2 linked regions of the Saccharomyces cerevisiae S288C genome follow. The protein of the gene in region 2 purifies or fractionates together with the protein of the main gene of each other region. This does not show direct contact. Each region holds a gene or a part of one and is shown on either strand. Other genes may lie near its edges. The genes, in order: RTN1 and YGR026W.

Region 1 (15,893 bases), on a different chromosome or scaffold from region 2:
TTATTACGCATATTTGTATATATATATACGCATAAATTTCTGAAATGGATTACCTGGTTTATCAGAAACGAGAGCTTTAATAAAGAAACATTAACGTTTCTCTGGTAAAGTCACCACACAGCATCAAATATAACAGTAATGTCTAGCTCAGAATCCATTAGAATGGTCCTAATTGGCCCACCTGGTGCCGGTAAAGGTACTCAAGCTCCAAATTTGCAAGAGCGTTTCCATGCCGCTCACTTGGCCACTGGTGACATGTTGAGATCTCAAATCGCAAAGGGCACTCAATTAGGTTTGGAAGCAAAGAAAATTATGGACCAAGGTGGTTTAGTCTCTGATGACATTATGGTTAACATGATCAAGGATGAATTGACCAACAATCCAGCTTGTAAGAATGGGTTCATCTTGGACGGTTTCCCAAGAACCATTCCTCAGGCTGAAAAATTGGACCAAATGTTGAAAGAACAAGGAACTCCTTTGGAAAAAGCCATCGAATTGAAGGTTGATGATGAATTGTTGGTTGCCAGAATTACCGGTAGATTAATTCACCCAGCCTCTGGCAGATCCTACCACAAGATCTTTAACCCACCAAAGGAAGACATGAAGGATGACGTCACCGGTGAAGCTTTAGTTCAAAGATCTGATGACAATGCAGACGCCTTGAAGAAGAGATTAGCTGCTTACCATGCTCAAACCGAACCAATTGTTGACTTTTACAAAAAGACCGGTATCTGGGCTGGTGTTGATGCTTCCCAACCTCCTGCTACTGTTTGGGCTGACATCTTGAACAAGCTAGGTAAGGATTAATGACCTTGCGCAATGTCTTCTAAATATCTTTTCTTTTTTTTAAATTAATGAAAATATAATAAATTTTTGTATGTGAGTACATATATCCGCAGTATACTATAAATGAAATAATAACATAAGTGTTTGTAACTGGCTATAACGTCCTTAAACATGTGCACTGCCATTAAGTACTTAGTCAATATTTTTATCGTTGAGAACGAACGCAAATCATATTACTAAATAGATGAACAAAAGCGCATCACATAAACAAAAACGGTATAACAGTAATAGTGAAGCTTTTTATAAACCTATAACGAAATAAGCGCTTTTCAGGTTTTATAATTCAGTCAGAGTTCTAACTGGACATCGTTTTGCAGGGGATAAAAAAAAAAAGGAAGCTTCAACCCACAATACCAAAAAAGCGAAGAAAACAGCCAATGCCAAATGACAATAAGACACCCAATAGGTCCAGCACTCCCAAGTTTACTAAAAAACCAGTAACCCCGAATGATAAAATTCCTGAAAGAGAAGAAAAATCCAATGAAGTGAAGACACCTAAAATTCCATTATTCACGTTTGCCAAAAGCAAAAACTATTCAAGGCCGTCAACCGCAATTCATACCTCACCTCATCAACCAAGTGATGTAAAACCGACTTCCCATAAACAGTTGCAACAGCCAAAATCCTCACCACTGAAAAAAAATAACTATAATTCTTTTCCTCACTCAAATCTGGAAAAAATAAGCAACAGCAAACTACTCTCCCTTCTTCGGTCCAAAACGTCAGCAGGAAGAATTGAATCAAACAATCCTTCACATGATGCTAGCAGGTCTCTAGCAAGTTTTGAACAAACAGCATTTTCCCGGCATGCGCAGCAACAAACTTCTACCTTCAATTCAAAGCCTGTACGTACCATAGTACCGATATCAACATCACAAACCAATAACTCATTTTTATCAGGAGTAAAAAGCTTACTAAGTGAAGAGAAAATAAGGGATTACTCTAAAGAGATTCTAGGCATAAACTTGGCAAACGAACAGCCTGTTTTAGAGAAGCCACTTAAAAAAGGATCAGCAGACATCGGCGCCTCTGTGATTTCTTTGACCAAGGACAAATCTATCAGGAAAGATACCGTAGAAGAAAAAAAAGAAGAAAAGTTGAATATAGGTAAAAACTTTGCCCATTCTGATTCACTATCAGTTCCGAAGGTTAGTGCCGGTGACAGTGGTATATCACCGGAGGAGAGCAAGGCAAGAAGTCCTGGAATTGCAAAACCGAATGCCATACAAACAGAAGTGTATGGAATAAATGAGGAATCTACTAACGAGCGTTTAGAAATAAATCAAGAAAAACCAGTAAAATTAGATGAGAATAGTGCAAATAGTACGGTCGCATCGGCCTTAGATACCAATGGGACGTCAGCCACGACAGAAACTCTAACATCAAAGAAGATCGTTCCATCTCCAAAAAAAGTCGCCATTGATCAAGATAAAATAACACTGCACGATGAGAAAACACTTGCACCTTCGAAGCATCAGCCTATAACATCTGAACAAAAAATGAAGGAAGACGCCGACCTCAAGAGGATGGAAATCTTAAAGTCACCTCATTTGTCGAAAAGTCCAGCTGACAGACCTCAAGGGCGTAGAAACAGCCGAAATTTTTCCACTAGAGATGAAGAAACTACAAAACTTGCTTTTCTTGTTGAATATGAAGGCCAAGAAAACAACTATAACTCTACTTCTCGAAGCACAGAAAAGAAAAATGATATGAACACTTCTGCAAAGAATAAAAATGGTGAAAACAAGAAAATTGGTAAGAGGCCGCCTGAAATCATGAGCACTGAAGCTCACGTAAACAAAGTAACCGAAGAAACCACAAAGCAGATACAGAGTGTACGAATAGATGGTCGAAAAGTGCTTCAAAAAGTACAAGGAGAATCCCACATTGATTCGAGAAACAATACCCTGAATGTTACACCATCAAAGAGGCCCCAGCTAGGAGAAATACCGAATCCTATGAAAAAGCATAAGCCTAATGAAGGGCGAACTCCAAATATCTCAAACGGTACAATAAACATCCAAAAGAAATTAGAGCCTAAGGAAATTGTGCGAGATATTTTGCATACGAAAGAATCATCAAATGAGGCTAAGAAAACTATTCAAAACCCTTTAAATAAATCACAAAACACTGCTCTTCCTTCCACACATAAAGTTACACAAAAAAAAGATATAAAAATTGGAACTAATGACCTTTTTCAGGTTGAATCTGCTCCAAAAATATCCTCAGAGATTGACCGGGAGAATGTTAAATCAAAGGATGAACCGGTTTCCAAGGCTGTTGAAAGCAAATCTTTATTAAATTTGTTTTCAAACGTACTCAAGGCTCCTTTCATTAAAAGTGAAAGCAAACCTTTTTCTAGTGATGCTCTGTCAAAAGAAAAAGCCAATTTTTTGGAAACTATCGCTTCCACTGAAAAGCCAGAAAATAAGACTGATAAGGTGTCTCTATCTCAGCCAGTTAGTGCAAGTAAGCATGAGTATAGCGATAATTTTCCAGTTTCTCTATCTCAACCTTCAAAGAAATCTTTCGCAAATCATACAGAGGATGAGCAAATTGAAAAAAAGAAGATCTGCCGTGGGAGAATGAATACGATAATAACTCACCCGGGAAAAATGGAGCTGGTATACGTGTCCGACTCAGACGATTCTTCTTCAGATAATGATAGCCTAACTGACTTGGAAAGTTTAAGCTCTGGTGAATCAAATGAAATCAAAGTAACTAATGATTTAGATACAAGTGCTGAAAAGGACCAAATTCAGGCAGGCAAATGGTTTGATCCTGTATTGGATTGGCGAAAATCTGATCGTGAATTGACGAAAAACATTCTTTGGAGGATAGCTGATAAAACGACATACGATAAAGAAACAATAACTGACCTTATTGAACAAGGGATCCCAAAACATAGTTATTTAAGTGGCAATCCATTAACTAGTGTGACTAACGACATTTGCTCTGTTGAAAACTATGAAACATCAAGTGCTTTCTTTTACCAACAAGTGCACAAGAAGGACAGATTACAATATTTGCCATTATATGCAGTTTCTACATTTGAAAACACAAATAACACTGAAAAAAATGATGTGACCAATAAAAATATCAATATAGGGAAACATAGCCAAGAACAAAATTCTTCTTCCGCTAAACCATCCCAAATTCCAACCGTGTCTTCTCCATTAGGATTCGAAGAAACAAAGCTAAGTACCACGCCTACTAAAAGCAATAGAAGAGTGTCGCATAGTGATACTAATTCTAGCAAACCCAAAAACACGAAGGAGAACCTTTCAAAAAGCTCTTGGAGGCAAGAATGGCTTGCAAATTTGAAACTTATTTCCGTTTCGTTGGTTGATGAGTTCCCTTCGGAGCTTTCCGACAGTGATAGACAAATAATTAACGAAAAAATGCAGTTACTTAAAGATATATTTGCTAACAACCTTAAATCAGCAATTTCCAATAATTTTAGAGAGAGTGACATCATTATACTGAAAGGTGAAATAGAAGATTACCCAATGAGTTCTGAAATTAAGATTTACTACAACGAATTACAGAACAAGCCTGATGCAAAAAAAGCCAGATTTTGGTCATTTATGAAGACTCAGAGATTTGTTTCCAACATGGGATTTGATATTCAGAAGTCCTGTGAACCTGTTTCTATATCCACGTCGGTCAAACCACATGTGGTCGAGCCCGAGCATATGGCAGATGCCAAAATTATGCCTAAGGATATACTGCAAATTACAAAAAAACCGTTAATGGTTAAAAATGTGAAGCCTTCTTCTCCGCCAGATGTGAAGTCTTTGGTGCAGCTGAGCACAATGGAAACGAAAACCCTACCAGAAAAGAAGCAATTCGACAGTATTTTTAATTCTAACAAAGCAAAAATAATCCCTGGAAATGGGAAGCACGCATCAGAAAACATCTCACTCTCTTTCTCAAGACCTGCGTCCTACGGCTATTTTTCTGTTGGAAAAAGGGTTCCAATCGTTGAAGATCGTCGAGTGAAACAACTCGACGATATAACAGACAGTAATACAACAGAAATTTTAACTAGTGTTGACGTTTTAGGAACACATTCACAAACTGGTACTCAACAATCAAATATGTACACATCAACCCAAAAAACAGAACTTGAAATTGATAATAAGGATAGTGTCACCGAATGTTCGAAGGACATGAAAGAAGATGGTCTTTCCTTTGTGGATATCGTTTTGTCGAAAGCAGCATCGGCGCTGGATGAAAAGGAAAAACAATTGGCTGTTGCAAATGAAATTATTCGGTCTTTGTCAGATGAAGTTATGAGGAATGAAATTAGAATAACTTCACTTCAAGGTGATTTAACTTTTACAAAGAAATGTCTTGAAAATGCGAGAAGTCAAATATCTGAAAAAGATGCTAAAATTAACAAATTGATGGAAAAAGATTTTCAAGTGAATAAGGAGATAAAACCGTATTGACTTTTTATCATTCTACAAAAGACCAGTAACGAAGTGTACCCTGTTTTTCTTTGTCGTTTTCTTCTATAATGAACAATTTACTTTACGGTCTTTAATCGATTTTAATGATTAGTTGGGCTTTTGGCTACATATGTAAAATTACATATAATATAATGGACACATAAGCAAAAAAAAAAAAAAAAAAAATAAACAAATGAGCAACCCATCAAATACCAAGAACAAAGAATTTAATATAATATATAGTTATTAAATTTAAATGTATATATGCAGTTCTGCTCTTATTTTGTGACCAATTTCTTTAAGTCATCCAAACCGACCTTGCCACTATTAGATTTGCTTGAATTTTGCGACGTTTCATGATAACATGTCGAGTGGAAATATTTGCCATTCACTTCAATAGTATTTTTCCAAACCCATTCACCAGATTCTTCATCATAAACGCCAGTAACGGTTTCCTTACAAATTGGACATTTGAAGGCCATATCTTGTGAAGTTTCTGGTACAACAACATATTTTCCCCGTATTTCCAACTCGTTACTTCTATCACTTCCTAAAGTGTTGTCTACAGAGCCTTCGTCATTTTCATCAGCGTGAATATTTAGGGCACTTTTATCGATATTTTTATTGGCATGCGGATCAGTATAATCATTTTTATGCTTTGTGGAGGTAATTTCATCATCTTTGAAGGCTGCCCATTGAGAGTCACTCAAATACCAGTTTCTTGATTGAATATTTTTCCTTGTGGTAGTTGTATTTAAGTTAGAGTTGCTTATGCCTGTATTTGCTGTGTTTTGTGATCCCTTAATTCTTGTATTTATTCTGAAATGCCAGTCCAAATGCTCATTTTGTAGTAGTTTTTCACTTTCTGAGTTGCCAAATCTCTTACCACACACGCTACATTTATTTGGCTTGGATCGGTATAATAAGTGAATAAGATTATTTTGGACGATGGGATTTTCTTGAAGAAGAGTTTGTTCGGACAGCTGCAGGGATGGGTTATTCAAAACGTCGATGTTAACCGTGGCAAAATAAGCTTTGCAGTCAGAAAGAATATCATTTAATAAGGGTATCTTTGGCAGGTTCTTCATCAATTGTTTTTCGTGTGAATCAAGAGAGTAGTTTGAGTGTCCATTTAGCTTTTTATAAAGCGTTACGATGGATTCTTTTGGTGGAGTATATATGAGCCCTTCAGCCTTAAGAGATGCATAGAGGTTATTGATTTTGTTTAGGGACTTTTTTTTCTCAATTTCTTGAAAAGATTCAACGCCAGAAATATTACCAAAAAGAGAGGAAGATAAAGAATTCTGTTGGTTCGTTGTATCTGAATTATTTCCAAACAATGGAATCGCTGAATTAGAGTTTTGTGTGTAAGAACCGACCATATCCTTAGTTTCGTGATACTGCTGCTGCTGCTGCTGTTGTTGTTGTTGCTGTTGCTGCTGTTGTTGCTGTTGCTGCTGAAGTTCGTGATACCTCATTCTTTCCTGCAAAACTTGTTGGTCCTGTGAGAAGACCTGCCTTAGTTGCATTTGAACTTGTTTCAGAGCATTGAGAGTTAGTTTTTCTCTTTTCAGTTCTTGTTTCAACTGAGATAAAACCAACAGTTTCATTTTTAATTTTTCATCATTTGGTTGATTCTTTAGCCTTTCACTAGTTAAACAAGTTAATTTATCAATGTCTCTTAATAGGAGGGGAACAGTCGGAGTTGGTAACATTGCTTGCAGGTTTTTCTGGTGGAGAGCACTGGCCTTTATTAAAAACTGTTCAATTTTCTCCAGTGCTGAGCCTTCAAACAGAGGCAGGCCGGTGTCATTAGGATTCAACCAAAGCTTAAACATATTGATGAGTTTTGTTCTTGTGGTGTTGTCCACCAATAAGTATGTTCTTTTGTACAAGTTAAACAAATTTCTACTGAAGTAGATTGTGTATGGGCTGCCAACATTCTTACAAATGGAGTCCAAGGCATAAAAAGCGTATAGCTTCTGCTTAGGCATACATTTTTCAATTCTACTCTCAATGGCGTCAACAAAATATTGAGCACACGAAATGTTTTCTTCTGCTAACTTCGTGAGAGTGGTAATAATGGGTCTCGAGTTAAAAGTTAATTCTTCAAGAATACTGTTGAAATCCTTGACTATAACTTCTGTGTCGTGATCCATAATGAAAAGAGAGTATTACAAATAGACCTAGTGTTTTCAAGTACAGTTTTCTTAACTGCTCCGAAAATTGTCCTGGTAATTCTTTGCAATGCAAAATTGAAAGAGAGACTTTTAAACTACTAAACCCTTAACAGTAGAACAACATTGTCTCATTAATTTTTGAAATTTCGCTTTCTTCCCATGCCTTAGGCCAAGTTCTCATCCAATGCGTCGAGTCCTTAAAAAAAATTCGCCCGGGTAAACTAAAACTTAGATGCACTAGGTAATACCATTTGGTGATAAAGGGAATAAAAAGCAGCAAATCCTAGCTCAATTACGAAACTCTGATCACTTGGGGCCCAGCTTCATTGGCTAAATTGGTGTATCCCTTGAACCGACTACGTAAGTACGTTTTGAAAAGTGTGTAAATCTATGTATAAAAGTACATCAAAAATTAGACTGAGAAAGTTCTGTATAGCTGTACTAATACATTAGGAATAGGCTAGACTTCTTCGCCGCTGGAATAAAACAGCTGGGCCTTCTCTTCATTGGTACCACTTGCTTTGCTCTATTGAAAGTACAAAGAATAGAGCAGACGAGTGTAAACATCCTATCTGCGTTCCAACAGAAGTGCGTATTGAAGTCATCTCATGCTAATGGCCATCTCATGTAGAATAGTAAGGAAAAACGTATCTAATTTATAAAAACTTGAGTTAGATCTCAAACTTCGGTAGATTGCGCCTTATTTAACGGATGATATACACTTATTCTACTGCTCACATTACTCGTTTTACAGGAAAAAATGGTCAATGCGGGCAAAAGAAAAAAATATTGGGCGATATGTTACAAGAAAAGGGTGAGATGGAAATTTATGCTAAACATTAAGTGGAAAAAAACCATATCCATACAATAGAAGTATATATTCTGAATAAAGGGTCAATTAAATTTCACCAAGGAATAAAATATTGTTAAAGAAAGTAACAGGAAGAGAAATCGGATATGCCTGACAATAATACGGAGCAATTGCAGGGATCTCCTTCAAGTGACCAGAGACTGAGGGTTGACTGGGACAACGGTAACCATTTTGACGTCTCTCCCGACAGATACGCGCCTCATCTATCTGAATTTTACCCAATTGTAAATAGTAAAAGACCAGTGGCTAGCAGTGCTGGCTCAGAAAATAACGACCATCTGGACGACATGAACCATTTACGTTCATCCAAAGTGTATTCAAAGGCCCGTCGGGCATCGAGCATAACTTCTGGTACGAGCACAATAAACGACTTGCAAACGCTAATCACAAAGAGAGATGTGAAAGAGACCCAGGAAGCCCTATCGACATTACTCAGGAACTCGAATGCTTATTCGGATTCGTTATTAAAGACATCTCAGAATGGGGCAGAAATTGCCCATTCCTTAGAAAACATTGCCAAGTTGAAGGGTTGCAATGATGAAACGGCGGAGAAACTATTGAGTGCCAGTGGGTTATTCTACCTTTTATCTAATCATCAGCTTATAATGTCAAAGTATTTCAATGACTTGTTGGGAGATAATTTAATTGATGATATTGATGAATTCGAATTACAGACCAAGATAATGGAGAACAAGTTCAAAGCACAAAGCAAAGAGCAAAGTTTAAAATTGAAATTGCAGGAAAGACATAACTTCGATATCTCGAAAAGAAAAATAAGGAATTTAATCTCATACCGAGAGAGCCTTTCTAGCTTGCAAGCAAGGTTAGATCAACTGGAGACACTAAAGCACGATTTTTACATGGATTCATACGAACTTGTGGAAAATACATGCAACAAAGTACTCAGCAAAGTTGCCACGGTATCTAGGGCACAAGTGGAAATTTCTGAAAATATTGCAAGGAAAGGTTGGTCTGGAGGCGGGCTAGACGAACTACTTTGTGATGCAGACGACCCCTTCAGCAAAAAAGCAGATGGGCCATACGGGACCATCGGTGGTGATGGAGAGACTGCTGGAGAAGCATACAACAGCGATGAGGAAACGGGTGGGAATGACGTGGTGCTCAATGAACTACTAGAAGGAACCAGCCAACCTTCCACATCAAAAACATCTTTACCCAAATCCAAGGGGTCCTCAACGGTATCCACACCGAATCATTCACAGTCAAGTTCAAACAAGGACGGGGTACGAAACAATGGCGGCGGCAAAAATGGCGAAGATGAGGATACAGACAATTTGATGGGAACAGAAAATTCATTTTCTTTACCGCCTACGAGAAACTCTGCCGAGGAAACCACACAAACGTTTAAACAATTGTCCATTAAAGAAGATAATGACAATCACAGCAGCGATACGGACGGCATGCAAGACCAGTCAAGTAATATATAAAATTTGTAACTCTATGTATGCTTTTTATATAGAAATGGAGAAAGTGAACAATTGAAGTTATAGTATTTTCGGAGAAATGTTGCATATATACATAGGAAAACGGTTAAAAGGCCCTGCTTCTACCTTCTGTTTCCCCCTCGTTCTTTTCACCAGAACTTGTACCATTTCTTCTCAGAGGAGGCCTGAGATAAATTCTGGTTACTTTGTTCAAACTGACTCTGCTTTTCATTTTTGGCGGCCTCCCATTGCCCCGGCAGAGATGGGTCATGAGGGACATTATGGAGCATTGGTTTTTCCTTTTTCGCCACGGTTTCCTTTGCCAATTGTGCGATCTGGAAACTTTTTTGTCTCTTTAGCCTACATTGCTCCCATCCGACAATCGAGCCCAGTATCAGAGAGCTCATCGCCCAATTCGTGGCCTTAGTCGGGCTCTTATGGTATATAAATATAATAGATCCCATCAAGAACATGCTGGAAAACCCGAGCATGCCCGCGTCTCTGAAGCACGGGATTGAAGTCAGCTTCTGCAAACTAAAATCACTCCATCTGATCGAGTCCCAAGCCTCTTTCAAAGTAGCCCGTTCTTGCTTCTTGGCCAACTGAGAATTGGACAAGTCATCGGCAAACTTGGGTGGAGTGTCTTCTAAGAGGATCTTTTGACCCCGCGAGTAATTTGTCAGCACGCGATCACCATCTGCTTTACCCTGCGGTTGTTGCTGCTGCTTTTGATCTTCTGTCTGATTTGACCACGGCCACCAACGCATCTTTATATTAACTGTTGAGCTGCTCGTTACGCACTGCTGTGGACTTCACTACAATGCTTTACCGAGCAGTGGAGTTTGATATAGTGGTGGTACCCCCGACGGTGCTATAATAAGCTTGCCTGCACGGCTTACCCTACCGCTCGGAAAGGCCGCCTTCGTCGCTCATTGGTCTGCGGCCGCGGGCGCTTTTTGGTCATTGTTCATATATGAAGAAAGAGCAGGAACGGAAATTTTTCATCTTGCCTTGCCCATTGTTCTGATCCATGCGTTGTTAGAAATACAACGTTTGCATCATACCAAACTTCTCCATTCCGTCAGCTGATACTCTATTCGGTTGTGTGTTGCACCCTGCTCTGCTGTCTCTCAACCGTTCTTCCTTTACACGCCTTCCCTTCTCAGCTCGCGTTTCTTTTTTTTTTATCCCACTCTTTTCTTTTTTCTTTCCTATATATTGCCCATATAAGTTTGGTTGGAAGGAAAACTAATAGAGCTAGTTGTTGTCCCTCAATAATCATAACAGTACTTAGGTTTTTTTTTCAGTATGCAACGCTCCATTTTTGCGAGGTTCGGTAACTCCTCTGCCGCTGTTTCCACACTGAATAGGCTGTCCACGACAGCCGCACCACATGCGAAAAATGGCTATGCCACCGCTACTGGTGCTGGTGCCGCTGCTGCCACTGCCACAGCGTCATCAACACATGCAGCAGCAGCAGCAGCCGCTGCTGCCAACCATTCCACCCAGGAGTCGGGTTTCGATTACGAAGGCCTGATAGATTCCGAACTGCAGAAGAAAAGACTTGACAAATCGTACAGATATTTCAACAATATCAACCGATTGGCCAAGGAGTTCCCCCTAGCTCATCGCCAGAGAGAGGCGGACAAGGTCACCGTTTGGTGTTCCAACGACTATTTAGCACTTTCCAAGCACCCTGAGGTATTGGACGCCATGCATAAAACTATCGACAAGTATGGTTGTGGTGCCGGTGGTACAAGAAACATTGCTGGCCATAACATCCCCACTTTGAATCTGGAAGCCGAATTGGCCACTTTACACAAGAAGGAAGGTGCCTTAGTTTTTTCGTCATGTTACGTAGCCAACGATGCCGTCTTATCCCTACTGGGTCAAAAGATGAAGGACTTGGTGATTTTCTCCGACGAACTCAACCATGCGTCCATGATTGTCGGTATTAAGCATGCTAACGTAAAAAAACACATTTTCAAACATAATGACTTGAACGAATTGGAACAACTGCTCCAGTCATACCCCAAATCCGTTCCTAAACTAATTGCTTTCGAATCAGTATATTCTATGGCCGGTTCAGTGGCCGACATAGAAAAAATTTGCGACTTGGCCGACAAATACGGTGCTTTGACCTTCTTGGATGAAGTACATGCGGTCGGCCTGTACGGCCCTCACGGTGCAGGTGTTGCAGAACATTGTGATTTTGAAAGTCACCGTGCAAGTGGTATTGCTACCCCAAAGACCAATGACAAGGGCGGCGCGAAGACTGTGATGGACCGTGTCGACATGATCACCGGCACTTTAGGTAAGTCTTTCGGTAGCGTAGGTGGCTACGTCGCAGCCTCTAGGAAATTGATCGATTGGTTCAGATCGTTTGCACCTGGTTTCATTTTCACCACGACTTTACCACCTTCAGTTATGGCAGGCGCTACCGCAGCAATTAGATACCAACGTTGCCACATCGACCTAAGAACCTCGCAACAGAAACATACCATGTACGTAAAGAAAGCTTTCCATGAGTTGGGCATTCCAGTTATTCCAAATCCTTCTCATATCGTCCCAGTGTTGATTGGTAATGCTGATTTGGCTAAGCAAGCTTCTGACATCTTAATCAATAAGCATCAAATCTACGTACAAGCTATCAACTTCCCTACGGTTGCTCGCGGTACCGAAAGATTGAGAATTACCCCAACGCCAGGTCACACCAACGATTTATCTGACATCTTAATCAATGCAGTTGATGATGTGTTCAATGAGCTACAGTTACCACGTGTCAGAGACTGGGAAAGCCAAGGTGGCTTATTGGGTGTTGGAGAGAGCGGATTTGTGGAAGAGTCTAACTTATGGACATCAAGCCAACTATCTTTAACTAATGACGACTTGAACCCTAATGTTAGAGACCCCATCGTTAAACAACTAGAGGTTTCTAGTGGTATCAAGCAGTAAAACAACCAATATATGCATGGGCTGAGATAGAGGTACAAGGAATTTGTAAATCAGTAAAAAAAAAAATTAACAGTTTTTTTTTTTCATTTTTTTTTTTTATTCTTATTTATGTATGATACTTTATTATTATTTCTCTTAATTATTTATTTATTTAACTAACACGATGAGCACTTTTAACTGCAATGGTTAAACTGTAGCAATGTTGGTAAAAAAGCAGGGAAAGTTCAAAAATAATTTATGTATTTTTCCTCGGGGGTACAGAAAGTAAAGAGAGAGAAACGTATGAGTATATATAGGCTAATGTAATATGTAGTGGTAAATAAAGAGACAAAAGTTAGCTATTCTTGTTTGAAATGAAAAAAAAAAAGCACTCAAGCGTTGTTTTTTTCCAATTCATTTTGCAAGTTTTTTGTACTTTTCTTCAATTCATTAGACAATTCATCGACGTTAAATTCTTGGGTAGTGGAAGGTTCGTGTTGTGGAACTTCTGGCATAACTTGAGCTGAAGATGTGTAAGCCTTAGACTCTGGTTCCAATGGAACATCAGCGGCCAACTTAGAAGTGCTGGCGGTTTGAGGACCGGCAGTAGAAGACACAGGAGCAGTCTTAGATTTGACCAAGTTGGAAATTGGGCCCAATTTAGATTCAACCTTGTCCAAGTATGGTTTTGTCTTTTCGCAAGCCATTTGAGAAAACTCTTGGGTCTTTTGCTTAGAAATTTCTACACCTTGAGCGACAGTAGCATCAATTTCATGCTTGTAGGAATGGTAGATAACTGGCAAAGTGAAGGTAAAAATGTCAGCAACAAAGACGATGGTCCAGATAGAGAACCAGGAGAAGAATTTGTGTAGTAGAAATAAGGCAACAGCGGTCTTGAAAGTGTGCTTAGGGACTTGAGCGAATACAGTCTTTCTTATGTGGGCTTGGAAGACTGGTAGCTGTTTCAAAGCTTCATCGATATGAGGCTTAATAAAGCCGGCGATATTTGGACATTCTTTAGGACCATACTTGGTGATTAAACCTTGTCCCAAAAAGAGCTTGGATACGAATTCAATAGATCCTGTTGTGAATAAGATAGTGTAGGCAACCTTCAAAAAGAAAGTGATCAAGTTAACTTTTTTCAAAATTAACAAGGCTAACAGAGACCCACCGAAATATTTACCGGTTTGAACAGGGTTCCTCCATAATAGCAAATCGCAATTACAGCTTTTTTGTTGTTGTTGTTGTTGGGCTTGGCTATGTTGAGCTGAGGCGGACATATTTGCGTGTGTGAATATATATTATATATATATACGCTTGCGGGTAGGAAGAAACAATTAAATATTTGGCTTGAGAGTTGAAAAGAAAGAGATCAAGAAAAGGGAATTGTTGAATAAAAATTTGAAAAATGCGAAGTTGAAGTGCCATAGAAGAGAAACAGCCCACACAGGGGAGAAGCCCACTGGAAAGGGGGCACTGACCAACTTTAAATAGGAAACAGAAGATACCACAAGCCAGCGATACAACAGCACCAAACACCGAAAAGAATAGCCAAAGCTGTCCTCTGGTGTTGGAAAAACTGGAAAAAACGCAACTGCGTTGGCTGCTACGGTGAAAAATTTTCCTATGACTTTTTTCACTGCTTGTTCGTGCGAAATTACCGCAAACCCGGTAAAATGTACACGTATCAAGTGATAAACAATTTCGTGTCAAGTGAGCAGAATGGAGCGATTTGGAAAAAAAAAATTTTTATTGTTTTTTCCCCCGGGATTTTGCTCGAGATGACTGAAATTTTGTAATCGATGAGTCTATACCAGAGGCAGCAAATATCACCAACATACACAGGTATACACAATCTCATGTCCACACACACGTACAGACACGCACATATATATATATATATATATATCCCCATAGGTATTTATATATACAAAAGAATCCTCGTGTGTTTGTGTGTGCAATAGCTAGTTTTGCGCTGCCTCTTATAGTAGACAATATCACTTTTTCAATAAAATAGAACTTGCAAGGAAACAAAATTGTATCGCTTCAAGATGCTACGATCAACCACATTTACTCGTTCGTTCCACAGTTCTAGGGCCTGGTTGAAAGGTCAGAACCTAACTGAAAAAATTGTTCAGTCGTATGCGGTCAACCTTCCCGAGGGTAAAGTTGTGCATTCTGGTGACTATGTATCGATCAAGCCGGCACACTGTATGTCCCACGATAATTCGTGGCCTGTAGCTTTGAAATTCATGGGGCTTGGCGCTACCAAGATCAAGAATCCTTCACAGATTGTGACCACTCTGGACCACGATATTCAGAACAAATCAGAGAAAAATTTGACCAAGTACAAGAACATCGAAAATTTTGCTAAGAAACACCATATAGACCACTACCCTGCCGGTAGAGGTATTGGTCATCAAATTATGATTGAGGAGGGCTATGCTTTCCCCTTGAACATGACTGTCGCATCTGACTCGCATTCAAACACCTACGGTGGTCTGGGGTCGCTGGGCACTCCAATAGTGAGAACAGACGCTGCAGCCATATGGGCCACGGGACAGACGTGGTGGCAGATCCCACCAGTGGCTCAGGTTGAGTTGAAAGGTCAATTGCCTCAGGGTGTTTCCGGAAAAGATATCATTGTCGCATTATGTGGGCTTTTCAACAATGATCAAGTTCTAAATCACGCCATTGAATTCACGGGTGACTCTTTGAATGCATTGCCTATCGATCACAGACTCACTATTGCTAACATGACCACCGAGTGGGGGGCTCTTTCTGGTTTGTTCCCCGTGGACAAAACTTTGATCGACTGGTATAAAAACCGTTTGCAAAAGCTGGGCACCAATAATCATCCAAGGATTAATCCAAAGACTATCCGCGCACTAGAAGAAAAGGCGAAGATTCCGAAAGCAGACAAGGATGCACATTATGCCAAGAAACTGATCATCGATCTAGCCACGCTAACTCACTACGTCTCAGGTCCAAATAGTGTTAAGGTCTCCAACACCGTGCAAGATCTATCTCAACAAGACATCAAGATAAATAAAGCTTATCTAGTGTCATGTACAAACTCCCGTCTATCTGATTTGCAATCTGCAGCGGATGTGGTTTGTCCTACTGGAGACTTAAACAAAGTCAACAAGGTGGCTCCAGGTGT
Region 2 (15,855 bases):
CAATATTGTGCGATGAATTATTTTCCGGTGGAGAAGCATCGATTGAAGGTGAACGGTGTATAATCCTTTTCTCAGTCTCTTGGTCACTTATCTGCGGAACAGTTTTGTTGTTGGTACCACCCGTACTGGATATTGGTACGTTTGTATGATTAGTCTCATTTTCACTGTACGAGTCTGAGTGTCTGAAATCTTTAGATTTACTGGCGTGCGACGACTCATGTGTGTTAGATTGGGACATGGGAGCAAGTAAAGGAACATTTAATTTATGCATACCACCCGAACCGGTACTCTCGATATTGGAAATTTGGGGGGTGCTAGATCTCTTCTTTGATGGAAGAATATTAGATTCAGATATGTTGGGGTCAACTTCTCTGGGTGCGCGAATATTGGTTTTAGAAACACGTTTCGAATCTTCAGTATGAGTTGACGGAGGTGTGGAATCGGTTGGACTCACAGCTTTTGAAAGGACATTTCTCGGTTGCTCAGGATGTAGTTCAATGTCGGATTGGAAGTCATGGTCAGATTCTATGTTAAGATCATTGGATTCTTGGATCTCATTTGACGCAATGAACGAATGATATGAAGCAGTTAAACGGTTTAAGTCTTCATCGAAAGTGAGTGCGTCGTAATTGAATTGATCTAATCTGGATTCCTTGCCCTGAAGAATAACATAGTTAGTTGTATCTACTGTCTTCTTTAAGGATGGAAGATAGATGATATATCCATAAGAGTTTCGAGACGGATGTAGAGCGTAGCCTGGGATGCCACGAGGATGTATTTTGGAGTTAGGGTTGTGATCATTGACGATAACAGGTTGACCGAAAGGTAACAAAGTACTGATATCAAGTCCTGCCAAGCCAGCATGTTGTCTTGCAGATTTTTTGCTTTTAGGTGAAGCTAGTGAATTTCTCACAATAGTAGAAAATTCGATTGCAGAGAACCATAAATGGTTCGGTAAACCACTACATTGCAGTTGAGTACGGCAGTCATCTAATAAGGTACGGTTTAGCCGTTCAGCGACTCCATGTGCTCGGGAATCCGCTGTGGTTGTATAGCATGGAGTTATACCATTTTTTTCAAGGAATTTATGGAGAGTTCTGTTAGTATACTCAGAACCACGGTCCATTTGTATAACCAAGACACTGGCCTGAAATTGGTTTTTAATGAAAGCTAGTATCGTGGTAAATACATCGAGGATAGAGTCCTCGCGACGGTCGTGCAATGGATAAACCCAACGGAATTTTGTTGTCTCATCAGTAAATGAGATGAAATAGGATGGTGCACTTTTTGGTAGGTTGTGAACTGGACCAAATATGTCAGTATGTAGGTATTGAAAGGGTTCGTATGAATTTTGGTATTTTAGTCGTGAACCTTTGATATGTCTGTGTTTGGTGCTTTTGCCGATTAAACAATCAGGACATTGATAGTCAATAGCACTAGACCAGTCGACATCTGATTCGTTAAAATACGTGATGGTGTTATTTTTAAGTGAGTATCGAATTGTCTGTGCATTGGCATGCGCAAGCATTCGATGAATGAAAGGATAAGGATATTTGCGTGTACTTTCACTTGTATGGACATTATTGATGGTGGGTACGGAGATATTTGATGGAAGCAAGTACCTTTTAGATACCCAGTAAAAGTCTCCATATTGTACGATAGGTGCAAGTACAGTGCCGTCAGATCGTTCTAAGACGTTTTTGGTAAAGCATGCTGTGATATCTACTGCAGCCAATTCATTCAAACTGAGTAAGTCATAGGCTATGTTAGGAGTGTGCAATACCTTTATTGATGTTTTGGTGTTGTCCTGGAAGTGAAATTGTAGGTCACCAATAGCGTTAATTGGTATATTTCTTTTTTGAGCATCAACTACGTTTATGTCAGGATTAGATGATGCTGAGTGTATGTGATGAGCAGATCTTATAAGGGTTCGTGATGCTCCTGAATCGAGAAGGAGGTGTCCAGGGAGTTCATCATCAGAATGATTAGTGTGATTTACCGTAGATTCAGTAAGTTCCTGGCCTAAGGTGAAGGTCGTGCTTATTGTTCAATTGAATCGGTTCAGTAGTTGATTTACTGATGGAATCGTTGTCCGTGCTGGGAGAGTTATTAGATGTGGATACATTGTGAGCCCTGGCTGTTTTCGATTTCGAATTATTTGTTTTTTGAGGATTCCGAGCTATAACTTTGGGTTTGGTTGTATTCGTATAGCTGCGAGAATCATTCTTCTCATCACTCAGATTTCTCCTGTAATTAGGTTTGCTGTTTCTCGATCCCTGTTGTTCTTCATAAATAGCATGGATATCTAAGAACAGTTCAGCGACTGTCATATTTAGATGTCGATGACGTGTGTAGCGTAAAAATTTATATTCGCCAGATAGACCTCTCATAATTAATTGGCATGCGACCTTGTTATTGATATGAATGCCATTATTGTTCAGTCTGTCGATAATGTTTGTGACTTTTGTTTCAAATGCATCTGCAGGTGTACTGCCATTATATTGCAAATTTGCCAGGGTCACAATGTCGTTTGCCTCTTGGGTATCAGATTGCATTTTTTCAATACTTTTGGAAAGAATTTTCATGATATCCGTATAATCAACGGATAGGATGTCTTTGACCCAGGTAGGTAGGAATTGAGAGGGAGCAAATATTTGAAAAGTGTTATACAAGAAGGTGAGTTCATCATCAGTGATCTGACGTACGGGTTTTCCGTTTACTGTCGGAATAATACCACCGAGATTCGAGTTTTGTAAAAATTTGATGTATGTTTTAACCCAATTTGGAAAGTCATTAGGTGAGGTTAACATTGGTGGTGGTCTGACATATTTTTTAGTGGATGTCATATCAGAGTCCGCTGAGGATGAATCAGTAAATGTATTACCTGACTCAGGTGATGGAGTGCTCAGAGGCGTTCCAACTGATGATGGATACTGCGGAAACTGTGATTGTGGCCCAGGTGGAAAGTACATAGGCGACATTTGATAAGGTGTATACGGAATCATAGATGGGTGTCCGTAAAATGACCAACCAGATGGATTGGCTTGGTTTTGGGTCATCATGCACTGCTGTGGGTACGGCCCATTCTGTGGTGAATGTGACTGAGCAGTTTGAGGAGAGGCATGATGGGGGTTCTCTGGAACAGCTGATGAAGCAGGTGTTGTTGTCTGTTGAGAGTTAGCCTTAGTGGAAGCCTTCTCACATTCTTCTGTTTTGGAAGCTGAAACGTCTAACGGATCTTGATTTGTGTGGACTTCCTTAGAAGTAACCGAAGCACAGGCGCTACCATGAGAAATATGTGAATGTTGAGATAATTGTTGGGATTCCATTGTTGATAAAGGCTATAATATTAGGTATACAGAATATACTAGAAGTTCTCCTCGAGGATATAGGAATCCTCAAAATGGAATCTATATTTCTACATACTAATATTACGATTATTCCTCATTCCGTTTTATATGTTTATATTCATTGATCCTATTACATTATCAATCCTTGCGTTTCAGCTTCCTCTAACTTCGATGACAGCTTCTCATAACTTATGTCATCATCTTAACACCGTATATGATAATATATTGATAATATAACTATTAGTTGATAGACGATAGTGGATTTTTATTCCAACAGAGAAAAAGTCATCAGATTCAATGGAAGCTGAAGCACTAGGATTAATAATGTTATGGAATTATGAACTACAACATAGAAAACAGTAAAAGAAAATAAAAATAACGTAATATTAGAAATACCGATTCCCTTATGAGGATTACTATATCGTCGAGTAGAGTATCTAGTGTATTTTGTATACCTAATTACAGCTTTGCAAGGAATTCCAAAAATTACCTTTGAAAAATGGGGGAATGTTGAGATAATTGTTGGGATTCCATTGTTGATAAAGGCTATAATATTAGGTATACAGAATATACTAGAAGTTCTCCTCAAGGATATAGGAATCCTCAAAATGGAATCTATATTTCTACATACTAATATTACGATTATTCCTCATTCCGTTTTATATGTTTCATTATCCTATTACATTATCAATCCTTGCACTTCAGCTTCCTCTAACTTCGATGACAGCTTCTCATAACTTATGTCATCATCTTAACACCGTATATGATAATATATTGATAATATAACTATTAGTTGATAGACGATAGTGGATTTTTATTCCAACAACCTTGATATCTAAATATCCACAAGAATTAAACTAAAACAAGCCGATATATCACTCCAAATACTTTATTAAGGTGGTTGATTGAGCTAAATAGTTCTTGCCTCTTCAGTTCAATATAATGAATAGTACTTTGTACACTGAGTGGATTCTAGCCCGCTCAAAATAATATAAAGCAAAATTCTATATTTTATATATGCATCCGTGCATTTGTGTAACCCATTCACCCATAAAGAGGTTCATTTACCCTGTAACGCGCGAAGACAAAAAAACGAAGGACGCCTTCTACAGGAAGAATTGTGCGACAGAACAACTTCACGAAGTATCTCTTAAAGTTCACGAAGCATTTAATACTATTAAGATTGCTCAGTTGAATATTGAAATCGTATTCTTTGTTATCGAAAACCGTCAAGCCCTGTTAGTTTTAGTGTATGTATCTATAAATTTGAAACCAATATTAGGCGGATAAGATGAAATAGTGACTGGCCAATCCAGGATTTAATATGTCATAAAAGCCTGTTCTACCTTAATGGGATGAATATCCATGTCTCTGTTATATGCTCCATAGCACAGATCTAGCTACCCATGGTACTTTGAGAGAAGGAAACTACGTACTTAGTGGTGATTTACAGTTAAATTCAATCTACAATTCAAGTCATTAGCAAATAGTCTTTATCCCAAATTCTACTAGAGTTCGGTTTTTTACTAACAAGTATGTTTTTACTTTTTACTTTATCATAGAACATTTAATAAATCATGCCTCCAAAGCAACAATTATCTAAAGCTGCCAAAGCCGCTGCTGCCCTTGCTGGTGGTAAGAAGTCTAAGAAGAAGTGGTCCAAAAAGTCCATGAAAGACAGAGCTCAACACGCTGTCATTTTAGACCAAGAGAAGTACGACAGAATCTTGAAGGAAGTTCCAACTTACAGATACGTTTCTGTCTCTGTTTTGGTCGACAGATTAAAGATTGGTGGTTCTTTAGCTAGAATTGCTTTGAGACACTTGGAAAAGGAAGGTATCATCAAGCCAATCTCCAAGCACTCCAAGCAAGCTATCTACACCAGAGCTACTGCTTCTGAATAAACAGGGAACGGGTTATATAATTTTAAATAATCTGTATTTTCAATAATATTTTTATGTATGTTTATTTGCACGTCACGTTTGTGTTATGGAAGACATCATTCAGGAAGTGATACATACAATAGTCTAAAAAAAAAAGGAACATTAACGGCTGAAAAGTCAGAAATGAGGTATAAAACGGTATTTAAGAGAATTGATTAAATTGTATGTATGCCGTCCATTTCTGTACGAGCGTTAGTGGCCAAAAAAGGTAAGAGGAGAGGAAAATAAGTAAACGAACATGACATCTGGTCATCTTAAGTTAGAGAATTTCTTACGCGTATCTGGCAACTTCTTCTGTTCTCTTTTCGTGCTCCTTCATTTTCATATAAATAAAGTTCTTTATAACCTGCCATTTGTCTCTATATTTTTTGGGGACGTATTTTTCAAACTTGACAAGTAACTCCAAAACAGCCACTTGTGCGTATGGAGAGAAGTTCAACCTCAACCAATAAATACCAACATAAATGACGAGCATAAATCCGGATGTACCCGTCTTAAACAATATAGTGTCTAGTGTTAGCGCTAAGATAACAAGTAATTCAGAGTACGCAAGTAAGTGTAGCATTTTTCTGTCTTTGGGTGTTAAAGGGATCTTTTCTTCTTTGTTAGCATTCAATTCGTAGTTCATTTTAGTTAGGTGTAGATAACTTAAAATCATGTAAGGCAAAATCTTGTAAAAAGACTTACCACCACCAAAGAACCATAAACAGGCAATCAAAAGGGTATGAAAGTTCTCAGAGGACAAAAGGTCATTCCAAGTAGGGTTAAGTCCAACCCAGTTCTGTTGCATTGTGACGGACTCAGACATAAATACGCCAATTAATGACAAACGGTACATTACCTGTGGGCTCCAACTCAAAAGTTTCATGTACCATCTCTTACTTTGAATAAACGAGTAATTTTTATTGACCCTTAAGAACAACCACTTCCAGGAACGATATTTGAAGAAGATTAGGACATGGTAGAAATACGTGATAGAAAATAATAAACCAAAAACTAAAGTTAAAACGTGTCCGATTTTCCAAACTAGTTTTTGTTTTGCTAAAGGATCGGATAGGTTCTTCTTTTTGGGGTCCTTCTTCCTGATAACTTTGATAGTCTTCGCCATTTCCAACGTTGTTGTTTTTTTTCTACAAAATTTTTATATCTTTCTATAATGAATTCTCTCTTTGGGTAACCAAGTTGAATTTAAATTTGGTTCTTGTGTATGTTAGTTTTTTTGAAGAAGCACAGCCAATTGAGTACTTTGACGCCGTGCAAGTGGGTATCCTATAATAAAATGGACATGGTCTTTTTTGGCGTAAGTATCCCTTGTCCTGCACATACGCTTTTTTCGCTCTATATTCTTCAGTTTTACCCGGATTGAAAGTTTTTATTGTTTTAAAAATCACTGATGGAGAATTAATTGAAGACATGCGGATAGAGAAAAACTTAAAGGGCTCATAGCCAGTCATGTGCCTTAATGTTCAAAGATTCTACTTCCTAATGCGAGCGGGATGGCAAACTCTAAATTTGGATACGTAAGGCAATTTGAAACACACGATGTTATTTTGCCTCAGTGTTATATTGTGGTAAGAATAGACGGCAAGAAGTTTCATGAATTTTCCAAGTTCTACGAGTTTGCCAAGCCAAACGATGAAAATGCTTTGAAGTTAATGAATGCATGTGCTAAGAACCTTGTCCTCAAGTACAAAAATGATATTATATTGGCGTTCGGGGAGAGTGACGAATACTCATTTATTTTGAAGTCAAGTACAACTTTATTTAACAGAAGGAAAGACAAGCTTGCGACTTTATTTGGTTCTTTTTTCACGTCCAATTACGTCGCATTATGGGCCAAGTTTTTCCCAGAAAAGCCGTTGAATATCAAGCATTTGCCATATTTCGATTCAAGGTGTGTAGCATACCCTAATTTACAAACGATAAAAGATTATTTATCCTGGAGATATGTCGATACACATATAAACAATCTTTATAATACGACGTTTTGGCAGTTAATAATAAAGTGTGGCTTAACTCCCCAGGAATCCGAGAAGAAACTATGTGGAACATTTAGTAATGAGAAACAGGAAATACTATTTTCTGAATGTGGGATAAACTACAATAATGAACCTGAAATGTTTAAAAAGGGTTCACTAGTAACAAGAAAAGGAGAAATACTTCATATTAACGTCATCGCACAGATAGATGAGTTGTTCGAAGGCTATTAATAACCTTTATATATATATATATATATATATATATATATGTATATCAGATCATCGTTGATTTCTAATGAACTTTCTGCACTTTCCTGTTATTTCCAAAGAACTGGGTTCCTTTATGTTAATATTGGACGATCTTTTAAAAGTTAAAACTAACTCATCGTTTCTTCAGTTTTGCTATCTTATTTTTGTGATGATAAAAAATATCTCCGCGACGGGGAATTGAACCCCGATCTGGCACGCGACAAGCGCCCATTCTGACCATTAAACTATCACGGAAGTAACTCGAGTGTTCGATTTTCAACTAGCAATATATCATATTGTTAGATACTTGCGGAACAAACAAAAATAATTACATTGGGAAAGTCGCTTTTCCATTTGTGGTGACCGCTACCCTTAGGAACAGGAACCTTAAGCTAACAAGGTAATTTCTTAGCTTCCTCTGCATTCTGTCTTGCCTTCTCCAGAGGATCCAAAATGGTGTTCGAAGCTTTTGCAGAGACAATATTTTCAAAAGATGGGCCCAAATTAAGAGTTCCTTTGAACTCTGCGATCCTTCTTCTCTTCCTTTGAAGTTTTCTTCCATGCGCTCTCTTTAGTCTCTAAACCTGTATCGTCAGCAGTATGCACTTGGGTGACATGTAAAAGTTTTCCAAATGCACTTTTCTTTCCAAGTGTAAAATAAAGCATTTCCGGATGGTCAAAATAAATATATAATACTTATTCCAAGTTTATAAAAGTATATGCGTTTATAATATTAAGTATATATGTATATATACGGGGAAGTGAACGTAGTGGTTATGTTATTATTTAGTCGTCAAAAAAATTGGGAAACCTGTGACAGAAAAAGGGAAAAAAAAGTTCTGTAATATGCATAAATTATTAGGAATTGAATCGGAAAAAGAAGAACGAAATGACCGAGGGTGATTTTAAGAAGAAAAGTTATGGCAAAGCTGCTTTCGCTATGATTTAATAGTTCGTGATATTTAAGCCGTTGTTTGGTTTCGTGTAATAGTTCTCGTCGATGCTAGCTTCGCTGTCATCATAAACACGATGAATGTTTTCATCGTGCATTACTTCATCTGCGTCGTTGTAATCTTGACTATTACTATTCGACATTGAATATGATGCAGATTTAGTAGGTGAGTATTGATCATCTATGCCTCTGTTATGGAAGTTGGATGATAGGTTTTCATCATTAGCGTCGTCGTCGTCGTCGTCGTCGTAGCCTTCAACATTAGTGTGTTTAGGGGTGTAGGGGTTGTCATTGTTAAGTATATCTTCTGGATCGATATCACCAAAATTCTGAATATTATTGCTGCCGATGGGGGAATCTGAGCTGAATCTTTCTGTTTCACCAATTTTTTTACCCAGCAAGAAATACCATATTTTGGTGAAAATGTTACTACGATAAGCTGTGACAATTTTACCGTCAGAGTCAATGAAATCCGTTTTTTTAGGCTGAACACAAAACATGTAAATCAATATTAGTAGAATTAGGATGAGGGGGGCACCTATGCCAACCACACAACCGATGATAATATTACGATTCTTTTTTGATAAGCCTGAGTGATGTGAATTTTTTCCTGAAGATGCGGATGCTGTCGGTGAATACGTTATTGTGGTATAGTAGTTAGAGAGGATGGTCTGGCCTTCTATTATACTAGTTATGGTTTTTGCCAAATTGGAATATTCGGAAGCGGGAGTAATAGAAGATGAGGCGGATGTAGAAGTGATTGATGAGGTAGGGTTTGAGGAAGATGAAGATGAAAATGAAGGATATGACGAAGACGAGTATATGGATGAAGAGGAAGATGTGGAGAGGGTGAAATATGATGATGATGATGATGATGATGATGAGGATGAGGATGATGATGAGGATGATGAGGATGAGGATGATGAAAATGAGGAGGAGTAGGAAAAGAGGGTGGATGAGGATGAGGATGATGAGTACGAGGATGATGTCAATTCGGATGAGGACGAAGGTGGAGATGAAGTTGAAGAGGAGGGAACGTACACTGAAGAAGTCGAAACGGATGTTGAAATTGAAGAGGAAATCAAAGAGCTTGAACTTTCCGAACTAAACGTAAACGTTGACGAAGACGTAGAGATAACCAACGATGAGCTAGTGGAAAGTGTGGAGGAGGCAACTGTCGAAGATGTTGATGCCACAGTGAATGTCGGCAGTGATGATGACGATGATATTATTGTTGATGATGAAGAGGAAGGAGATATTGATGATGATGACGATGATGACGTAACCTCCGAAGAAGACGACGATGTTGAAGACGACGAAACTTGCATGGACGAAGAGGAAAGTTCTGAGGATAATGTTGACGAAAGAGTAAGCAGTGAAGAACTTTGTGGGAAGGAAGTAAAGGATACTGAAGCTATACTCGGCGTTGATAAACTTGCGCTGCTCGTTGCATCGGTACTGGACGTAAATGACTCAACTGCGGAAAGCGAAGTGATGGAAGGAGCTGTGCTCGATGTTGTGCTATTAGCTGGAACCAACTCCTGCGAAAGAACACTTAGCGGTAGTGTTGTTAACGCCATGAGAATCGTTCTCCACATAGATAGGCTTGAAGCAGAGCTCTTCTTCCTGGTCGGATTGCAGCTTGCCATACCTTAACTACTTATATTATACTAACTGGGAGTAAGTTAAAAGTGGAAACGAAGATCGAACCAACCCGAAATGAACTAGAAGTGTTTAAACAAATTTCGGAAGCAATGGAGGATTATATCCCAATTATCTCCTCGGAATATATCCTTATTATGCCTTGGTCTTCCAATATGGACCGAAGAGTACTTACAGTAAATAGCAGTATCCTTCGTTTTTCATCTACACTTTTCTACCTAAAATTGATCTTCCCGAAGAAGAAAAACTAAAAACTTCGATTTGATGACTGTCAAGACCCCAAGAAAGAGGGAAAAAAAAAAATGATATCTCATGCAACAACAAGTAATTAAGTGCTCCTTGTTCATGGAAGACACAACAGGCACCACTAATAACCTGAATGAGGCACCTTCGACTTTCGAGATGAGCCCTTAGTTCATCCTGGTGTTGTGTTTGAGAGGGGGAGAGCACATCATTGTACTTCCAGATCCCCCTAGCCATGATCTAATATTACCGCTGAGTAAAAATAGATCTCGGCTGCGTCTCCGTCTCCGCCCGCCTTCCGTCGGTTACTTCGTCGGTTCTTGCTCGACCCCCGCCAGTCCGCAGACAACAGTCCGCAGCAGGCAAGTGCTGGTGTCCGCTTGGTGTTTTTACGTACGATTGTCTTTGTTGTTGTTTTTACTCTTTATTACAGTTATTACTACTGTTTGTTTAGTATATACAGGTATTTGTGGTATTGATTATTTATTTACGGTTTGGTTGGATTAAGCGTTGCTAGCGTTAGTGTACAACGACGTCACTTCGTCGATGTCCTCGAGCGCTGTGGTCAGTTTCTGTAGTTTCTCGAGCGTTTCATCGCCTTGCACGAAAACTTCCATATCCGGCTTGGCATTGTAGCCGATGCCCAAGTCTCTGATGTGGAAACCACGCTCCTTCAGTAGGGCGGCCACCTTATTGGTATCGGCAGGTTCCATCACCGCCTCGTAAGTTTGGCCTGTAGTTTCAGTTTCGGTATCACACTCTAAATCTTCTGCGTCTTCCTGCACAGGCGCAATGTCTTCGATGCCTTGAATCTCCAGTACGCTTTCTAGCACCTTGTCCTCAGTGTCTAACATCTTCGGAGGTACCATTGTAACGTATCCTTTTTTGTCGAAGAAAAACAACGTTGGAGTCATCGATCCATTAGCTTTATTAAATGCACTCCTTATCAGACCTATGGTCCTGTTCTTGTTGTCTGTCAGCGCTTCCACCACTATAGCGACCCCGCCGGGCCCCATTCCCTCGTATACACATAGCTCAGAAGCGTTTGAGTCCTTGCCCGATGCGCTGCTTCCAGAAGCTTTCCGGATGGCGTTCTCAATAACTTTTTTGCTGACATTGTTTTTATTTGCTAGCTCGATGCTGGTGGCTAATCTTATATTCATGCTCGGATCCGTAATACCGTTGCCTAACTTGACTGACATTGCTATCTGGTTTGCAAACTTGTTATTAATTTTGTTTCGTTCCGCATCATTCTTGGCTTTACCGTGCTTGATGGTTGACCATTTGTTGTGACCTGAACGTACCGAGGAATTCAGCACACTAAACGATCGAGAGTTTTTGAGCAGTTCACCCAGATACCTATTTCTTACCAACATTTTCCAATTTTTGATGCGTTCATACCAAGTTTGCTGTTTTTCTTAGTTATTATCATCATCTTTCCCCTTATTGCTGCTGAAACTTGCGTACGTGCGTACTAAAAAAATTTCACTGCGCTTACGCCGGTAAAGGGAAGTAGGAAAACGAAAGAAAAAAAAAAAATAAAGGCGAACGATAACAGGAAAACCAACGTGAATTGCAAGCACTACATTTATTATATCGAGTTGACAAAGAATTAAGAAAATAGAGCACTACATTTCTATATTCATAGCTAGTCTCACTGACGCATAGTAACTAAATCATGGCTGAGAAACGTACTCTTATAGCTGTGATAGCTGACGAAGATACTACAACTGGTTTATTGTTAGCCGGGATTGGACAAATCACTCCTGAAACCCAAGAAAAGAACTTTTTTGTTTACCAAGAAGGTAAGACTACTAAGGAGGAAATCACTGACAAGTTTAATCACTTTACTGAAGAGAGAGACGATATTGCCATCCTTCTAATCAACCAACATATCGCGGAAAACATAAGAGCTAGAGTGGACTCCTTCACCAATGCGTTCCCTGCTATTTTAGAAATTCCATCTAAAGATCATCCCTACGACCCTGAAAAGGACTCTGTATTGAAGAGAGTCAGAAAGTTGTTCGGTGAGTAAGCGAACGATCTTTCCCAAAACAAACACAATTACTGGTAGATTACTAGTAGCAGGCGGAGGTGGAGGGCGGGAGCCACTGTTATTGCGTTTGTATAATATATACACTCATAAATGATATATTTAAGGTTCAGATAAAAACAACTTTTTTTTTTTTAGCACGTCTTTACTGCAGTCACCAAACCCATTTTTTTTTTCCTATTGTGAATACCCGCCCATATTTTTCACACACAACTGATGAGTAATATAAAACTTTTCTTTAAAATTATAACAAGATACACATATATAAAGACCAAAAAAGGGAACGTGACACGGCCTCGCTAATATACAATCATAATTCATTAACTGATTTGGCTAATGCTTCAATAAAGATATCAGCATGCTTCTCCTCGAATGTTAATGAAGGTCTTAATCTCACTGCATGGACTGCACATCCACCAACGTTGCAACCATTCAACTTCAATTTCTTCAATAGTAAGTCTCTCTTCTCACCAGTAGGCAAATCCCAGGCAATGAATGTGCCTCTTCCTTTACCTCTCAAGTTTTGAAAGTTTTCAGGGTATTTCTTCTGCAAACCCTCCAATTTCTTGAACAAATAATCACCTACTCTTGAACATTGTTCAGTCAACTTCTTGTCGGAGATTTCCTGTCCAATGGCACCTGCAATGATCATTCTTGCAGGTTCACCACACCATGTGTTGAATTGTCTGTATGGTTTGTTTGGAATGAATTTAGGGTCGTGGAAGAAATATCCTGCACTTTGGAATTTCTTGGAAAAGGTCACTAAATCCACAGGTGGTTGAATATCGGCGTACTCATGACACCATAGCTTACCGGTGGCTCCGACACCTGTTTGCACTTCATCTATGATGTAGACAACGTTATACTTCAAGGTAATGTCTCTTAGCTTTTGTAAGAAATACTTAGAAGCGTGGTTATCACCTCCCTCAGATTGAATTGGTTCGATGATTAAGGCAGCAACTGGAATAGACCAGGTTTTGATTAATTCTTCAACAATGGCCAAGCAATGGTCATCCTCTTTACGGTTTGCATCAGAATTTTCATCTAATGGGTATTGGTAAGATGGATACTCAGCATGAGGCCAGTGGAAGGCTGGGAAATCCAACTTGTGAATTGGTTTAGAACAAGTTGTGGAACCGGAGGCAAACAATCTACCGTGGAACGCTCTCTTGAACGATAGTACGGCAAGATGAGGGGCGCCAGGGGCGTCATTGTCCATGACAGACAAGTTTTCCTTTTCAGAAAAATCGGCATCATAGCCCCTTTGTTTGGCACGGTAATAAATAAAGGCAGCCTTGAACGCTAATTCATTGGCATCTGCACCGGAAAGCCCTGACCAGACGTGATCTTGACCCTTTGGCGCAGATTTCAATATTTGCTTCAATATCTTGTCTAAATCCTTAGATGGGAAGTTACCTAAGGCAGGACGGTCGACCAAAGCACGGATCATTTCTGGTGATTGTGCTGCCTTGATCAAAGCAGGGTTGTTATAACCAAGTGCAATTGAAGAGATTTGGGCATACAAATCCAAATATGTGTTCCCATCCACATCAGTGATATAGTTACCTAAAGATTTCTCATAATCAGCCAAAAAATATGCTGGTCTTGTGTCAAAAACTTCACCCAGTTCCTTTAACTGCTTCTGGGATTCAGGACCAGGAATGGACTCGGTCTTAACAGTTGGTTTGGTTGGCTCTTCTGGGTAGTATTGTTCACAAATAGACATTGTTCTTAGTTATATTTCTTATTGACGGTTTCTTGTCTGTTCTTTCTGTAATGTAACACAGTAAGTGAGTATTTTGGGAGAAGGAAAAATCCTAAAACTATTGAAATTACAAATGGCCTTATATACAAATATATGTGAAAACCTGAACCAGATTCCCTTAAATCATTACATCCCGCGAGATTACTCACTTAATTTTACAGTAAACAGATCTGGCGCTTGCTTATACTACTGGAGACAAATCATATCCAATCACCGCACCAATGGATAAACATATTTGCCGTCCAAAGCGGCGATTGCTTTGTTCTATTATCTATCTCTTCCTTCAAGCGCCTTTGATTAGATTAACTGCCGGTGCCACTACCCACAGGAATCCCGCCCGCGGCTTTTGTCAAGCGTGGTAAAATCGCCGACGCTGATAATATACTATGATTAATGGATAGTTGGAAAGATTGTTTTTGTACAGAGATTAACTATATAGGTAGAAATCGAGATAGCGCGAATACAAAGCATTAACCATCGCGAACGTTAGCAATAATGATTGACATTTCTCACGGACACACTTCTTGTTCCTCCCACAGATCTTCGTCTTTGCCGTCGGTTTTCTGGAAAATCCATCTTTCACCACCTCTTCCCTCTTTCAAGTTCAAAAAATCAACAGAATCAACACAAAGACAGACAATACCAAAGTTTTCCAGTCCAGCGTCCTCTTTAGCACCGTCAACTCCTCTATGGAGTTTGTCCAGTTGTTTGCTAGTTTCAGAGGTAAGTTTCTGGCCCGGGGCTGGCTTCCTATACAATGACTTGGTATGCCTTGATAGAGAGGACCATTGTCTTAGTAATTCAGCCTCCCATTCTTGTGGTTGAGGGTAGTAGTCGTCTTCATCCTCATGGTGTTCATCGTTCTCTATGGATTCTATAAGTTTGTTATCTTCGTTAATGTCATTATTGTCGGCGTCATTATTTTTATCGTCGTCGTCGTCGTCGTTAATTGGAGTATCTATTTCTTCGTCAGTGCTGTCATCATTTGTCTCTGAAAACCGCGGTGAAAATATGTCATACTTGGTTACAATCTCAGCCGGTATTTTCTTAAATTGTTTAGATATTGTAAAGCATTGGCCACTGAAGCGATACTGCTCCCAAGTTTCCGGGAAATAGAAACATGCTTCGAAAAATGGAGTCTCACATCTTTTGCTGTCGCTAGAGTTATTTGAATTTGGAGTTATAAATGATTCAGTTATCTTTGAGCTCCTCATATCAGTGTTAAAAGTCAACACATTAGTTCTTTTGTCATGAAATAAAAAATCTCTGAACACTACCGTTCTACAACGTGGTTTGTTCGTTAGTTCGTCAACAGTAGCAAATTGAAATGATACAAACGGTTCAGTGTTATTTTTGCACGATTGAATAAACATGGGTATCCATGGCGCCATTTGATGCGACATTATTCCCACTTTTAATGTTTCGGTGGTTCTTTTTTTGTTTTTTTTTGCTCTTTTTCTAATCTTCGTTTAGTATCAGCTAAGTTCCTCTTGTTTGGTGAAAGGTCCTCGAATGTATAATGTATGAAAATATACAGCACCGTGCTCGACTTACTCTCGCGCACGATCTTGAATTGTGGTAGTATCGCAAATTTGGGAGATTACTGCCGTATATTTTGTTCTAAATTACTCACATCAATTGTTTTCCAAATGCTGCGGA

Evidence for each region.
Region 1: the proteins of YGR026W (region 2) and RTN1 purify together in Saccharomyces cerevisiae (affinity purification with mass spectrometry, with the first as the bait; one study listed by BioGRID). This does not show direct contact.

The regions. Positions count from the first base shown.
Region 1 is NC_001136.10:916,348-932,240, forward strand, and holds RTN1 (Rtn1p), read right to left. Parts: upstream 14,011-15,893; coding exon 13,123-14,010; downstream 1-13,122. Other genes in the region: adenylate kinase ADK1, read left to right, coding at 139-807; chromatin-silencing protein SIR4, read left to right, coding at 1,224-5,300; PCF11 (Pcf11p), read right to left, coding at 5,579-7,459; IVY1 (Ivy1p), read left to right, coding at 8,438-9,799; COX20 (Cox20p), read right to left, coding at 9,946-10,563; HEM1 (5-aminolevulinate synthase), read left to right, coding at 11,105-12,751; homoaconitate hydratase LYS4, read left to right, coding at 14,782-15,893.
Region 2 is NC_001139.9:523,531-539,385, reverse strand, and holds YGR026W (uncharacterized protein), read right to left. Parts: upstream 6,402-15,855; coding exon 5,565-6,401; downstream 1-5,564. Other genes in the region: YGR027W-A (gag protein), read right to left, coding at 2,007-3,329; 40S ribosomal protein eS25 RPS25A, read left to right, coding at 4,928-5,254; YGR025W (uncharacterized protein), read right to left, coding at 6,445-6,747; THG1 (tRNA guanylyltransferase), read left to right, coding at 6,790-7,503; MTL1 (Mtl1p), read right to left, coding at 8,467-10,122; post-initiation translation factor DPC29, read right to left, coding at 10,882-11,754; VMA7 (H(+)-transporting V1 sector ATPase subunit F), read left to right, coding at 12,057-12,413; UGA1 (4-aminobutyrate transaminase), read right to left, coding at 12,742-14,157; YGR018C (uncharacterized protein), read left to right, coding at 14,692-15,021; YGR017W (uncharacterized protein), read right to left, coding at 14,706-15,599.